Linked DNA regions of Xenopus tropicalis. The protein of the gene in region 2 interacts with the protein of the main gene of each other region in a pairwise test. Links are inferred from orthologs where the notes say so. Each region holds a gene or a part of one and is shown on either strand. Other genes may lie near its edges. The genes, in order: nbr1 and syt4.

Evidence for each region.
Region 1: the proteins of syt4 (region 2) and nbr1 interact in binary tests that used the Homo sapiens proteins (3 or more experiments, as listed by UniProt). The two-hybrid records come from large-scale screens. The link is inferred for Xenopus tropicalis from reciprocal best matches to the Homo sapiens genes SYT4 and NBR1.

Annotation. Positions count from the first base shown.
Region 1 is NC_030686.2:19,645,667-19,648,952, reverse strand, and holds the end of nbr1 (next to BRCA1 gene 1 protein), read right to left. Parts: intron 2,775-3,286; coding exon 2,696-2,774; intron 2,367-2,695; coding exon 2,261-2,366; intron 1,473-2,260; coding exon 1,299-1,472; 3' UTR 683-1,298; downstream 1-682. UniProt on the Homo sapiens protein: Ubiquitin-binding autophagy adapter that participates in different processes including host defense or intracellular homeostasis.
Region 2 is NC_030677.2:207,891,453-207,895,288, forward strand, and holds part of syt4 (synaptotagmin-4), read left to right. Parts: coding exon 1-297; intron 298-1,458; coding exon 1,459-1,579; intron 1,580-3,836. UniProt on the Homo sapiens protein: Synaptotagmin family member which does not bind Ca(2+). Involved in neuronal dense core vesicles (DCVs) mobility through its interaction with KIF1A.

The DNA.
Region 1 (3,286 bases), on a different chromosome or scaffold from region 2:
TACTTATTATTATTGATTTTTTAGACCTATCATTTCCAGTTTTCTCTCTTGAGATATTTCTTCTTCTTTGTCCCATTTTCCTTTAAGAAATTTTAGCACTCCAATACATTACTTTTTCCATCAATAAATACATAAACCATAATATTATAAATTTTATTATAAGTGATACTAAGGACACAATATGTTGCACAAACTAGTCATACTTTATCTGAAAAAACTAGGGTATATATATATATATAATACGTGTATTGGATATATTCAAAATGCTTGTGACCTGAGGGTTTCCAGATAAGATATCTTTCTGTATATTAGATCACCATGACTTAGGTCTGTTAAAAATTATTTAAACATATAGGGGCAGAGCTCTAATCAAATGAACCCCAGTAGAATTAGTGAAGGGAGCCACAGATGCCTGTTGCTATTTTCACAATGGGGCACTGTAAATGAGCCCTATAATAGGCAGTTTAATTAGGAACAGGGCAACAGCCTTTGAAACCTTTGCATGCTGTTCCACTAAGGCTCCATATAAACGGACTGGCAGCAGCTGTTTGTGTGCACTGTTGCATGAAAGAGAAAGGAAGAAGATCATTTACCCAAAAATAGTCTTTAAATTGTTTAAGACCCATGATAGACATAGTCACACACACACACAGAACCCAGAAGAAACAAGTGAGGCAAAATCTTTAGAGTGAAAGATATTTTATTCATCTGCTGGTGAGTGCACCAAAAGTGGCCCCTGTTTACAGTATTCATCTAGTTATTTATCATTTTCCCCACATCTATTTACAGAAACATTCATTCACAAATAACATTGTTTTTTTCAAAAGCAGATTTTTCCGCTTCATGAAAATCTCTGTGATCTTGCCAGGATTTTCCCACTTACTGCCCTTAAATTAAATCTTTGCAGCTCTTAGTATACTGAGAAAATTCATATTCTGAGCCTTTAAATCAATGTTGCTTCAGGAAATAGAATTACTTCCTAATAAGTTCAGGACTTGATTTACATACTGTGTATTGATACTCCTTATTCCAGTATCAGCCATTCAGTCTGATAACACCAAGCCCGTGTCAGCCAACACCAAAGGGGCACTTCTTGCTCATTGCACATTTATCTATAGAGCTGGAAACTCTTTTTGATGCAAATATTGTTCTTCCAGAGAATCTTAACTAAAGTAATGGAAATATAATGGAAATTATAGGGCCAAATAAAAAGATGTGTCTTGCTAGCAACGCATTATACATCTGCTTTTTTTCTACTTCAAAATGTCTAAGGGCAGAACTAAGCTCTCTTCTCTAGTTCAGTAACGAGCAGAGTACCAATCGTTGTCGTTGATCTGGATCAGTTCGGTCACTACGTCCATGAGGTTGTAGCTGTGCTTGTGTAGCAGGCGTTGGTTGAGTTGGCGGTCACAGAATCCCATCTCGAGGAGGATAGCCATCATGGCTCTGTCTTGTTCTTCTGAATTTCTTGGCTGGAGATGGAGAAGCAAGCAGAGTTGTTGGCATTAAATAGAATATTTAACATAGTATAGGTAATAATAAAAGATTTTGGAAATGCCTCCACCAATTCAATATTTTTGGGAACCCTGACTAACTAGTTGAATCAGAGGAAGGTTAAAAACACCTTCTAAAGCTTCTCCAATTTGCCTCGGAAAGGGAAAAATTCCTTCCTGAATCCACAATGGCAACTGCACCACTCCCTGTATCAACTCTGTACTTGAAGTGCTAATTTCGTTAACTTTGTACTTTATAATTTTATAAAACGGCATCCAACCCTTTCTTAAAGCTATAGCAAAAAGAGAAAGTTGTGCTCACCACTACAATTTAAAACATTAGGCAATGAGGCTGTGACCGCACATACATACAAAATCAAATGTTCCTCTGCCCTCATGCAATACCTGTTTTGTTTAAAGGGGAAGGCATTTCCTTAGTAGCTCATTACACAAAATGTCTTAATGTCTTATATATATTGATAATGGGCAGGTACAGAGCACCACTAGCTTTTCTGAAAGCTATCTAATGTATCTGACTTCAGGAGATCATTTGTTAACTTTTGGCATCTTAAGGCGGGACCTACTTTCTTCAAATACATGGAGCTCATATTCTCCATTCTGTTTTTTTTAACAACATTCACATAGAAAACAAAAGCTCTATGATACTTTGCCCATAACACTAACCATTTAGCCACTAACTAATGCATGCAAGCCTTTCTATGAACACTTGAATGAAGGGTTAAAGTTGACAGAGTTGCTGCACTCACCAGATTTATCTCTGGTTGTCCAGAGAATAAAGCCTTATAAGCAGAAGCAGCAACAGATAGGGCACCTTTCACAAGACCCCCGGCAATGCTGACACTGGTGAGTTGTCTGTTGGAAATCAAAAACATGCATTAAACATAACAGAACTATTTTGTTTCCTTTATTATCTCAAAAAACAGAAATGAGATTGCAAGGAAGCTGGCAAACCAAGAATACAAACTGGTACATGTTGGCATGACATTGGCTCAAGTAAAAAATTCAGTAATCAAAGTAGAAGGCCGATAGACCCACATAATTTTAGCAATGTGAAAGTTTATATACACAATGAATTTAATACAGTTACAAGACTGAAGTGCATCCATGGGAAATCACCAATATTATCTTGGATACATGATCTATGTAATCTTCCATATAACCATGATTAACTGTTGGGTTACCTTGCGTGATCAGTCTGTTGATTGTGTGCTGGGGCACAAGCTGTAGGCTCTAAGGCTGATGTGTTTTCATCTGAAGAATCTTTCAGAAAACCATCAAATAAGTGAAGAGTATTAAACAAGAGTATAAATCAGTGAGTAAACCTATATTAATTTTACATGGGATCAGTTGGAATGAGGCTAGGATTCTCACAAATGCCAGAGAGGCTGCTATAAGATGCAATAGACAGTCACTATTTAGACTGTCACTACTGATTGTTAAGATATATGTTGGACATAAGAACATAAAGAAGAATTCATTCATGATCTGTATTGAACTGCAACTCCTAAATGAGCATGCTCAGAATGATAACCTGGAAACACTAGTCACATTAATTAAGTACGATAATTAATGTAGAAAAAAAAAATCTCCATCAATTTTAACTCTATGGGGCTGATTTACTAACCCACGAATCCGACCCGAATTGGAAAAGTTCCGACTTGAAAACGAACATTTTGCGACTTTTTCGTATGTTTTGCGATTTTTTCGGATTCTGTACGAATTTTTCGTTACCAATACGATTTTTGCGTAAAAACGCGAGTTTTTCGTATCCA
Region 2 (3,836 bases):
GAACAGTCCATGACATCTGACCCGTATATAAAAATGACCATCCTTCCTGAGAAGAAGCACAAGGTTAAAACTAGAGTGCTCAGAAAGACTCTCGACCCAGCCTTTGATGAGACTTTCACATTCTATGGAATTCCTTACAGCCAGGTTCAAGACTTGGTCCTTCACTTCATCATCTTGAGCTTCGACAGATTCTCCAGGGATGATGTCATTGGTGAAGTCTCTTTTCCTCTCTCGGGAATTGAACTGTCTGATGGCAGAGTGCTAATGAACCGGGAAATCAATAAAAGAAATGTCCGGGTAACTTATTTCATATGTTTCTCTTTATTAGCACATTTATTGATTTTTGCATTAATCTTTAGAAATGAGAAAAAAAAAATTTGGGGGGGGGGGGGGGGGGGGCGGTCCACACGCTTTTTCTTTTGATTTTATCAAAAATTCAAAATTTTGAATTTAAATTCAAATTTTATCAAAATTTTACATTTATCATAAAAGCCTTCAAGTTCAGGTATGGGATCCTGTCTCCCATAGACACCATTTTAATCAAATAATTCAGAATTTTAAAATTGATTCCCTTTTCTCTGTAATAATAAAACAGTACCTGTACTTGATCCCAACTAAGATATAATTACCCCTTATTGGGGGAAGAACAATCCTATTGGGTTTATTTCATGGTTAAATGATTCCCTTTTCTCTGTAATAATAAAACAGTACCTGTACTTGATCCCAACTAAGATATAATTACCCCTTATTGGGGCAGAACAGCCCTATTGGGTTTATTTAATGGTTAAATGATTCCCTTTTCTCTGTAATAATAAAACAGTACCTGTACTTGATCCCAACTAAGATATAATTACCCCTTATTGGGGGCAGAACAGCCCTATTGGGTTTATTTAATGGTTAAATGATTCCCTTTTCTCTGTAATAATAAAACAGTACCTGTACTTGATCCCAACTAAGATATAATTACCCCTTATTGGGGGCAGAACAATCCTATTGGGTTTAATTAATGTTTTATTGATTTTTTAGTAGACTTAAGGTATGGAGATCCAAATTACGGCAAGACCCCTTATCCTGAATACCCTTGGTCCTGAGCATTCTGGGTAATGGGTCCTCTACCTGTACTTTTGCTTTCATGAAAAATAATGTTCAAATCTAGACCACTGTTCACAAAGAAAAACTCAAGTTTTAAATTGTAAAGAGTAAAGTAAATATTTATATAATTACACTATCTTCATATTTTATTGAAGCTAATTGGTAATTTTACAATTTTAACTGTAAAAAAAGTAGGAATTATTAGGAAGTTATTTTTGCATCAATGTCATCTACATTGTTAATATAAATAGTTTTATGCAACTGTATTTATTGTATGCATTTATTTATATCCAAGTCCCTACCATTTACATTAATATAAATATCAAACCCGATTCCTTTTAAATATTATTTTTTGTTTGCCTTTAGAAATCAGCCGGACGTGGAGAGCTGCTAATCTCTCTTTGCTACCAGTCGACAACAAATACTTTAACTGTTGTTGTGCTTAAGGCTCGGCATTTACCAAAAGCTGAAGTGTCAGGATTATCAGGTACTGTTTTGTTCATCTAAAGGGTCTGGAATATAATATATGCTTGGAATATGGATTTGGGGATTCTGTTCTAGTTCTATGATCTTATTGTTGTTGGTACTTATAGCTATAGACATCTAAATAATAGCTCCATGTTGGATAATAGCTCCATGTTGGATAATGGCTCCATGTTGGATAAAAGCTCCATGTTGGATAATGGCTCCATGTTGGATAATGGCTCCATGTTGGATAATAGCTCCATGTTGGATAATGGCTCCATGTTGGATAATGGCTCCATGTTGGATAATGGCTCCATGTTGGATAATAGCTCCATGATAAAGCTTATCCATTAAGTCAGGGATCCCCAACCTTTCTTACTTGTGACCCACGGTCAAATGTAAAAAGACTTGGAGAGCAACACAAGCACCATAAAAGTTCATGGAGGAGCCAAATAAGGGCTGTGATTAGCTATTAGGGAGCCTCTATGCACACTATCAGCTTACAGGGGCTTTATTTGGTAGGAAATCTTGTTTTTATTCAACCTAAACTTGCCCCCAAGTCAGGAATTCAAAAATAACTCCCTGGTTTGGGAGCACTGAGAGCAACATCCAAGGGGTTGGGGAGCAACATGTTGCCCCTGAGCCACTGGTTGGGGATCACTGCTGTAGGCAAATCAAAGAAGAAACACCATACAAAGGGTTTTTATTCATCCAGGTCACGGTATATCTAGTAGAAGTTGATTTAGAGCCAGTCCAGTTGCTCTAGGCTCACTTCTACTAGCTATAAAGCAGATGGTTACTTAGTCAAGCTGTCTTTCCCTAATGATCCCAGTGTCACCTTCAGCATCAGTTCTTGGCACAACACCACTCACTGACTTGCAGCCTCTCTGGTTATTATACTAATAACTTCTAGTATCTGGATTCATTGGTTTCCTTCTTTCATTTTCTGGTTCCCAGACGTAAGGACCATGATTTTATTCTTCCTACTTTGGGAAATTTATTAGGATAAATTAATATCATAATAACAGTAGTATACTCCCCTGTAGGGGCATATAAATTAGGGATACTTGGTAATTGTATCCCTTGGTGCTTGGAACTCGAAATTCCTCAAGTTCTTGAGAAATGCATGAATTTTTTACTTTTTAAAATACAGGTATGGGATCCCTTATCCGGAAACCCATTATCCAGAAAGTTCAGAATTACAGAAAGCCCATCTCCCATAGACTCCATTTTAATCAAATAATTCACATTTCTCTATAATAGTAAAACAGTAGCTTTGACTTGATACCAACTAAGAACAGCCCTATTGGGTTTATTTCATGGTTAAATGATTCCCTTTTCTCTGTAATAATAAAACAGTACCTGTACTTGATCCCAACTAAGATATAATTACCCCTTATTGGGGCAGAACAGCCCTATTGGGTTTATTTAATGGTTAAATGATTCCCTTTTCTCTGTAATAATAAAACAGTACCTGTACTTGATCCCAACTAAGATATAATTACCCCTTATTGGGGGCAGAACAGCCCTATTGGGTTTATTTCATAGTTAAATGATTCCCTTTTCTCTGTAATAATAAAACAGTACCTGTACTTGATCCCAACTAAGATATAATTACCCCTTATTGGGGGCAGAACAGCCCTATTGGGTTTATTTAATGGTTAAATGATTCCCTTTTCTCTGTAATAATAAAACAGTACCTGTACTTGATCCCAACTAAGATATAATTACCCCTTATTGGGGCAGAACAGCCCTATTGGGTTTATTTCATGGTTAAATGATTCCCTTTTCTCTGTAATAATAAAACAGTACCTGTACTTGATCCCAACTAAGATATAATTACCCCTTATTGGGGCAGAACAATCCTATTGGGGTTAACTACTGTTTAAATATTTTTTTTAGTAGACTTAAGGTAGGAGATCTGAATTAAGGAAAGACCTCTTATCCGGAAAACCCCAGGTCCCAAGCATTCTGGATAATGGGTCCCATACCTGTACAAATGTAATAGAAACTCTTGAAACTTGATGGATTTTTTGTGTATTGAACATAATAATCTGGTGCAATCACTGTGCAACAATAAACCAGACGCTGATGGGTTTTTCAAGCAGATATGATATATCTGATGTGTCCCCCATGCTTGTTATTCTGTGTGTGTATGGGGGAGGAGGGCGGAAGTCTAAACCAAATGATTAATGGTTCAACTAATGTGCTTCGTGCTGTCCTTTACATGCTATTATCTGAATCAATGGCTTCTCTGATGTATTGCTGATCTCCAAGAA